2 linked regions of the Canis lupus familiaris genome follow. The protein of the gene in region 2 purifies or fractionates together with the protein of the main gene of each other region. This does not show direct contact. Links are inferred from orthologs where the notes say so. Each region holds a gene or a part of one and is shown on either strand. Other genes may lie near its edges.

Region 1 (4,282 bases), on a different chromosome or scaffold from region 2:
AATAAATAAAATATTTTAAGATTAAAATTAAAAAAGTCATTCTTGAATAAAACCCCTCCCTCAGCAGCAAAAACCATTTATTACCAAGACATGATGATTTTACCTATGTCCCTCATGTTTTTCTCCTCTAATCAGTTCCCACAGCCATTCTTGACACGCACATATTGCCTGGATAATCTTACCACCTTCTCAACTCATCTCCCTGTCTCATCTCTCATCTGTCCAGTCCATCAATAACATTATCACACAAGTCCTCCTATAAACAACCTAATACAGCATCATATTTCATTTCTTCTTAAAAAGTGCTTTGCTGGGACAACTGGGTGGCTCAGCGGTTGAGCATCTGTCTTGGGTCAGGGCGTGATCCCGGGGTCCCAGGATTCAGTCCCACATTGGGCTCCTCTGCCTGTGTCTCTGCCCCCCCTCCCGTGTGTGTGTGTGTGTGTGTGTGTGTCTCATGAATAAATGAAGTGAAATCTTTAAAAAAAAAATTGCTTTGCTTACCCCTGCTTATAGAAAAGAAAAATTATGCAGTACAGAACATGAGATTTAGCACCAACCTACCTTTCCAGCCTCATCCCCTATAACCTCTACTGCCCAATTACTGCCTTTTACTCCAGACACATCTCAAATTAAGATAGTTCCGTAAACATACCATGTACCCCATTCTGTGCCTTTGATGTTCCCTCTACCTAGTAAAATCCTGATCGTCATTCAACGTTCAAGGTTCAGGTCAAATGTCATTTTCTTAGGAAAACTTCCTAAACCTTCAGAGACAGAATGAAGTTTCTATATTGTACAACACTCATCAACTTGTCTAGAGAGGTAATGTTAGCACGGTGGTTAAGAGAACAGACCACAAGTTTATTTATTAGGTTAAGAAACCCTAGGCAAATTATTTACTATTCCTAGGCCTCGGTTACCTTAACTATAATACGGGATAATAGAATAGCAGGCCTGTTATGAGGAGTTAGAATTAAAAAGTAGTTAGCAAAGACCTATAATGAGACTCAACACGATAACTATTAATTAACCTAAACTGCATGAGTCAGTCTCTGAGCTACCTGAAAGCAACTACGCTTTGGTAATCCGTGTATCCCCATTACCTGACATCTGGCCCAAGAACACACTCAGCATCTGGTTCTCAAGCGAAAATGAAGCTGGGATTAAGAATTACCACAGCAATGTTGAGGGGGGGGGTAAGAAACTGCAGTTATTAAGTCAGAGAACCTTTAGGGAACATCAAGAATATTTTATGTTGAGATGAAAGAAGGTTGTTTATTATCCTGTAGCTGTCAACTCTAAGCATTACCAGCCCAGATGATTATCATTCTAATGCTCTGGCTCATCAAGTCAGGTTTTCTTTTTAAGATTTTATTTATTTATTAATATGAAAAAGAGCGCGAGCAGGGCAGAGACACAGGCAGAGGGAGAAGCAGGCTCCATGCAGGGAGCCCGACGTGGGGGTCTCCAGGATCAGGCCCTGGGCTGAAGTGGCGCTAAACCGCTGAGCCACCCGGGCTGCCCTCAAGTCAGTTTTTATTACAATTTTTACTTGGCTTCCTTCAGACTCTGGGTTATTACTTTCCGGGGCCCTAGGCCTGTGCTAATTTGCATGAGTTTTAAACTAATCATCTGGCTTAAAAAGCAATTTTGCAATTGAAATCCATGGCACTTAATTGGCTTCCTACCTCTAGGCACTAAATTACCCTAAAACAGCTCATCGGATCTACCAGTCTATACAAGAGCAGAAAGCGCTGGGGTTGTCTTTTAAGACTTAACACTGATGACTCAGAGAATGTTACGCTCAAGAGTGCGATCGCCTCGCCTTGGAGACCTAGCAAGTGCCCATAACGGGCTGTATCTACCATCCTGACGTGATCTGCATTACTTTGGTTTGAGAGGCCACCCCTCCTTAAACAGAAGAACGTACACAGGTGTGTGTGTGTGTGTGTGTGTGTGTCTGTGTGTGTGTGTGCGCGCGCGCGCGTTCTGGTGGCTGCGCGGCCACGCCTCGGGATCTCCTGCCGACTGGCAGCTGGCCTGTTAGGAGTCCTGACCTCAGGGTCACCCCAGCATGCAGAGCAGGAACTGCCTCCCCGCGCGGCGGAGGACGCCGCAGATGCCCGGGAGCGGTGCACCCATCACAGGGGCTGCAGTCTGGGCAGTCGGCCCTCCAGGGAAGGCTGGACGAGCACCGCACAAAGGACGGCAGTCGGAAGGAGAGTGGGCTGACGAGCTGGGGGCGAGGTGGGTAGGCTCCTGCACAGGGGCTTGACTCTCCCTGTGTTTTGAGGGACAGGACCTTGCACCAACCTCCACGAAGGCATCAGTCAGGTCACTAGCTCGGTCCATCACTGGCAAATGGCGCCCGGCCACGATTTTCACCTTCAGCTTCCCAGGCATCTTCCCGGCCTCGGCCTCGGCCTCTTCTTGGGCTCCTGCAGAAACAAACAAGCGAGTCTGCGCCGAGCTCCGCGCCGGGCGGGGGAGGGGCGGGAGCGCGCAAGGAGCCGCGCGCGCAGCCGGGGGCGCGCGGGATAACTGATAGCGGAGGGCGCGCCACGCCGCCGATCGCCACTCACTCTCGGATGAATGAGGGGGCCGTCCCGCGCGGGCGCTGAGGCCTCATGCCGGAGAGGCAGCCGGAGGAGTGGCCCCGGAGGATTCCTCTACCCCGGCCCCACAGCGCTGGCGAGAGAAGCAAAAGCCCATGAGCATCCCGCGCAGGTTCTGCCAACCCGTCCTGGTGTTTTCCTCCCCCCAAAATGGCGGCTCTCGGGGCGTGAGGGAAGCATCGATCTTTCGGCGCTCGGCCCGCTTCGCCGAGGAGGAATTAAATTCGCCGAGAGCAGATGGAGGGGGCGGGGCGGACTGCACAGGGAAGTTGGTCGAGCCCTGCATCATCCACCGAGCCGGCGCGGCGGGTCGGCGCCTGCCTGCCTGCCTGCCTCGGAGCGGCCCGGGTCGCGGGGGGCGGGGTGCCCGGAGGTCTCGGTGGCTTCCCGGCTGCGAGCGCCGCATTCTCGAGGGGTGTGACCGAAGGAGCGGCGGCGCAGACTGCTAGAGAAGCGATTTCAGGCGGCCTGTAGCCACCAGTCCTCCTCAGTGGGTTGTAAAAATCAGTTTACCTGGTTCTGCCTGGAAGGGATGCAGTTCTTGTCGCATATGAAGGAGGGTAAGAAATTTCAGGGACATCTTGGGTCCTGGTCAAGTAAGTATTGCATACATAGCAACATTTTTTATTTTTTCAGTCGTATACACGTGTTACTGTAGGTCTTGGGGAAAAACAGAACTTTGAAATCCAAAGCCACCGAAGGAGTTTCCCCTGCATGCCTGCATAGGCTCAGTTCGTTTATTAAGCGTCAACAAGCCGACGACCTGCTTTACTGGCCGGAGGTCAGGACCTCCTACCTTTTGAAGTTTCTAGTCAACTGCAAAGAAAGAACCAGCCGAGCTTAATGAAACCGCTTGAACAATCGGCCTAATTACATGTGTAAATAAACATGCAAAAAAAGAGGCAAAATCTATAAGAAACCATCAGGAAAAAATTTGGGAAACTGAGGCACACGCACGGGATGTGACACAAGTCCCCCTACGCCAAATATGGAAAACAGCATTAACAGTATATACTATATCAAATACCAAAATCACCATTATCAATTACCATAGAAAGTTTTTTGTTGTTGTTGTTTTAACCACTGGATTCAACAGGATTGGAACATGACCAAATGATTTTTTTTTTTTTTTTTAAGTGATACACGTTTTCTCTAAGATACTTATCTTGGTTGCTTGGGTGGCTTAGGCCTGATCCTGGGGTCCTGGGATGGAGTCCACATCCAGCTCCCTGCTCCATGGGGAGCTTACTTCTCCCTCTGCCTATGTCTCTGCATCTCTGTTTGTGTCTGTCTCTCATGAATAAATAAAATTTAAAAAAAAAAAGATTTCTTTATTTGAGAGAGAGAAAGCATGGGGGTGTGGGGAGGCAAAAGGAGAGGGATAGGACCCAGAGCAGATTCTGCACTGAGCCTGGACCCCTTTGCAGGACTGGACCTGAGGACCCTGAGACCATGACCTGAACTAAAACCCGAGAGTTGGATGCACAGGCTGAGCCATCCTGGTGCCCTAAACTGATACACCTTTTTTGTTTTTTTTTTTTAAGATTTTTTTTTTTAATTTATTCATTTATGAGAGAGAGAGAGAGAGAGAGGCAGGCAGAGGGAGAAGCAGGCTCCACGCTGGGAGCCCGATGTGGGATTTGATCCTGGGTCCCCAGGATCAC
Region 2 (4,303 bases):
TGATATCCGGAGCCTTACACACCCACCACCTCAACAAACCCCCACAAGACAGACAAGGAAGTATCAGAAAGGTGAAGTGACACCTCAGGCCACAGACCAGCAGCAGGTCCTTTGTGCACAGACAAGCTGGGTGTGGGACACTGGGTTATGAGCAGTGGCGGCTGTGTTGTGGGCACTGAAGAAAGGATGCCCGAAAATGGGGCCCGCAGGATAAAGTGCTGGTGGGGAACCAGGCTCTGAGAGCGTGGAGAGGCATCCGGGCACCTGGGTGAGTGGGGGCCTCACCGACGGCTCCGAGGGTCCAGTTCTGGATCATGAGCTCAGCACAGAAGGCAAAGTCTCCAAAGCTCAGATACTGCAGTTTTTTCTTCCCTGTCTCGAAGCGGTTGTTGGCAAAGAAGACAATGGCTGCGTAGTCCCTGCAGGAAGGGGAAAGTGGGCCTGTCAGGGTTTCAAATTCCTTTTTAGCAAGCAGCTTGCACCTGCGACATTGGCCAGACATCTGACTTCTGGCCTGTCTCTGCCCCAGCTCACTACATGACATGCTTCAGGCCACTTTTCTCTGGGCCTCCTTGTTTGTGTACAGAGGTTTCAGCCCAGGTCTCCTAAGGGGTACAGAAGAAGACCTCAGGATAACAGTTACCATTTACTGAGCACTTCCTAAGCCCCAGGGGTTATACTATGGGCTTTATGTGTGGCATCTCACAACAGTTCCATTGGTAAATGGAACCTGGGATCTGAAGCCAGGCCAGCTTGATCCAAAGTGCAGGCCAGGCGTAGGATAGCCATCCCCCCAATGCAGCAGGGAGGTCAAGTGGGTTGGGGTGGGGAAGGTGGTCCTGCTTCACAGCCCAAGGAAGGAGGGTGCAGGAAGGGGAGATGGCTGGCTCCTTGCCCGACCCCCCTCACCTGGCCAACCGGTCAGACAGGAGGAAGTGTTGCTGAATGTTATCCACCAGGGAACCCCGCATTTCCTCCACCACCTTGAAGACTCGCTTAAAGTTGTCAAACTGTAGGGCAGTTAGGGGAGGAGGGAGGACTGGTCAGAGATTGGTCATCCAATAAACTGATTATTAAACATCCCTCCCTTACCTAGCCATCTATCCAGTCAACAGACTTAGCATGTGGTATTCTTCGATAAACTATTAACTGTTAATACCTGTTACCAATTCAACCATTTTGTCTTGGATAAATGTTTACTCATTTCTATCTCTGAATTCCCCTATTTTAGCATCATGCTCTCCAGTTCTTCGCGAACTTGTGCTGAAACTGATCCTCCTGGCTAAGGTCCAGGAAGTAAAAAATGAGCAAATGCTAAACTGTAAAGAGAGAGTGCACAAAAGACACAGAAAAAATACTATAGGCCCAGAAGGGTTACTTCTTCTTGGGCCACCAGAAAGGTTTGCGTAGAAGGTGGCATCTGGCTCCCTGCTTTGTATTTCAAGGGGTAGATAAGGCCAAGAATAGTACCCTCCAGGGAAAAGTAGCTGGAGCAAAAAGAAAGGCAGGGGCGCTGGAGAAATATAAGCTGAGAAAGGCTGGCAGAGACCAGACCATGGAGGAGTATGAAGGTCAAGGCCAAGGAATGTGGCTACTATCCAGGATGGAGTGGAAGAGCCAATTAAAGTTTCTGAGGAGGGAAAAGCTATGGTCAGATCTGAGCTTCTGAAAGAGTAGCTCCCACAGGAGAGTAGGAGATGCTTTGGAGGAGCAAAAGAAGGGACAGGAGACTGGGTATGAAGCCCCTCCCACAATCAGAGGTGAGGGAGGAGAATGGAGCTGGGGCAGTGACCAAAGGGATGGAGTGAAGGGGCAGACTGGACATGGGATGTTGCATTGGGGAGCAGGGGTGCAGTGCCCACTTGTCTCCGGCAGCTCTTGAGGGTGATGCCTGTTTTGGTGCTGATGTCATCCAGGTCTTTCTTGGTGCCCTTGGACAGCTTCTTGCCCAGGACCTCCCGCACAAAGGCCTCGTCAAAGGCATAGTACCTGCGTGGAGGCAGAGGACACCACTGACTTTCCACATAGGAGGGGAAAGGGGGTCCGGCAGGGCCCAGGTTTGGTCCCTCCAGAGACCATCTCAGTTGAGAAGGTCTCAACTTTCTTAGACCCTGTGTAAGTCCCATCCCATCCCGGGCCTCAGTTTCGGCCTGCAAAATGGGTATATGGTCAGTTCGGTTGGCATCCCCACCTCTCAATGAGCAGCGCCTGCCGAGAGGGCGGGATCTGGAAGATTAGCTGGTGCAACAGCTTGGGCGGTGCGTGCAGCAGGCGCTCGAGCATGTGGAAAGTTCGGTAGTGGTCCATGGTGTCGCTCTGCAGCACCGCTGCCGTGGCGCCTGTCTGCTCCAGGATTCCCGAGCGCACCCTCAGGGCCACTGCGTCACTTACTGGGGAGTGGGCGATACCGTTAGGCCCCGCTCCGCGAACCCACAGGCCCTCCGGGGATCCCAAGTCCAACTCCAAGTCCAACTCCTAAACATCCCTCACTCCCCCTGCCCAGTTCCCCACAGGACGGAATTCCCGGCCCCGCTCCGTCTCCCATCCCAAACAATCGCTCTTCTAACCCGCTCCGCAGACGGCCCCCCACACACCCGAGTAACCATCCAGCCAGAGGCGATACACGTCCTCGTCGATGAGGGTCGTGTTCCCCACGAAGATGTCCAGCTCGCTGGTCATGGCGACGCCCGGACCCGGGCGCAGCTGCAGCGCCCCAGCCGGAGCGAGCACTCCCCGGGTCCGGCGCGCCGCCGGCAGGCTACTTCCGGGAGCGCGGGGCTTCGGCTCCCGGCACCCGGAGCCAGAGAAGGACCACTTCCGGGACAGAGAGGGTGGGGCAGAAGCGGCGGCGGCGGAGTAGCCCCTCCTCCCAGCGGGAGGGGCAGCCCCCGGGTCCCCGCCCCCTGTCCTCACCCCCGCTCGTCTCCTGGCGGGGCTTGCCGGAAGGCGCAGGGGAGTCGAGGCCAACAGCTAGTGGCCCCAGCGCCGGCCACCTTCCCCCATCTCCCCCTTTCTCTGCCCTTTTCTGGGCCTCCCTACTTTGACTTGTGTCTTAAATGTAGGAGTTTCACAGATCTCTGTCCTGAATCTTTTCTCTGCAGAAAGTGTGTCTGACCTAATGTCCAAGGGCCATTGGTTTTAACCCTCGTCGCCCCCATCCCAGCCCGCCCCGCACTAATGACTTCTCTTACTCGGAGCTCGGAGCTCTGCCTGGGAAGTCCACATCAGGAGGGCTGCCGAGCTGCTTGTTTTTCTACGCTGTTTCCCTACAGGCCCCTCAAAAGCTAGACAGCCTTTTTTCCAATCTGTTTCTTTCCTTCGTTCCTATCTCAGTGATAGTCCCAACATTTACCCAGTTCTCATGCCAGAACCCTGGGTTTTCTCCCAGAGTCCTCTTTCCTCACATTCAGTTCTGCTGATTTGCTTCCTGAGTATTTCTAGGTTTCGTCCTCTCCACCCCTACGGGCACTGTTCCAGCCCAGTCCTGCATGGCTCTACCTTGCCCATTGACACAGTGTTTTTTACTAATCTCCCTGCCTACATCTCTTCCCCTTGGTGCATCCCACACAGAACAGCCTGAATAATTTTTTTAATGTATATTTTAAAATGTTACTCCCCTGCTTAAAATCCTACTTGCCTGTGGCAACGTTCCTGCCAACTACCTTTGTGGCTTCTCTCCCTCAGGTTACCATTTTCTCCACACACCCATCTTTTGAAAACAATGAGCTACTCTCAGGGTTCCTAAAGCAGCTAGGCCCCCATGGTGTTTCACCACGCTATTCCTGCTTGCTGAAATAGCTCTTTACTCATCAAAGTCCTATACATCTTTCAGGGCCCCTCAGATTACCACCTCTTCGGGGAAACCTTTCTGGACCATGTCTCTCCCCGCGTTTACTTCTTGTTTAACACAGCCTGTCTCCCCCACTAAATTATGACCTCTTTGAGGACAGGATCAGAATCTTAGTCAAGTTTATTTCTGCCCGAGCTTTGCACACAGTAAAAGTTTATTGAATAAATGAATCCCTGTATGTGCCTCCCCACCCTCCGCCCCCACCCTGGACAGGAAACCATCCTTAAGAGGGTAGCCTGATGGTGAGCCAGGCACGTTTGGACTCCGGGTTCCGAAGAGCTGGAAGTGATGTTCAATGAGCCGAGACTCTCGAGCATGAATTAAGCTAGAAAAGTTGGAGACGAGACCCCTCTGGGTTCCGTCAGGGGTGGGCTTGAGAGTCGGTGGCCGACACCGGAGTCTAAGTTCTCAGAAAGAGTCGAGAGGCCTAGGCTAGAGCGTGAGGAAATTTGG

What was found.
Region 1: the proteins of FIBP (region 2) and C2CD5 purify together in Homo sapiens (affinity purification with mass spectrometry; 3 studies listed by BioGRID and IntAct, counting the BioPlex papers as one, with this or other methods). This does not show direct contact. The link is inferred for Canis lupus familiaris from reciprocal best matches to the Homo sapiens genes FIBP and C2CD5.

What each region holds. Positions count from the first base shown.
Region 1 is NC_049248.1:21,832,466-21,836,747, forward strand, and holds the start of C2CD5 (C2 domain-containing protein 5), read right to left. Parts: upstream 2,801-4,282; 5' UTR 2,586-2,800; intron 2,442-2,585; 5' UTR 2,407-2,441; coding exon 2,317-2,406; intron 1-2,316. UniProt on the Homo sapiens protein: Required for insulin-stimulated glucose transport and glucose transporter SLC2A4/GLUT4 translocation from intracellular glucose storage vesicle (GSV) to the plasma membrane (PM) in adipocytes.
Region 2 is NC_049239.1:51,878,078-51,882,380, reverse strand, and holds the start of FIBP (acidic fibroblast growth factor intracellular-binding protein), read right to left. Parts: upstream 2,801-4,303; 5' UTR 2,680-2,800; coding exon 2,595-2,679; intron 2,391-2,594; coding exon 2,192-2,390; intron 1,990-2,191; coding exon 1,863-1,989; intron 1,011-1,862; coding exon 910-1,010; intron 420-909; coding exon 286-419; intron 1-285. UniProt on the Homo sapiens protein: May be involved in mitogenic function of FGF1. May mediate with IER2 FGF-signaling in the establishment of laterality in the embryo.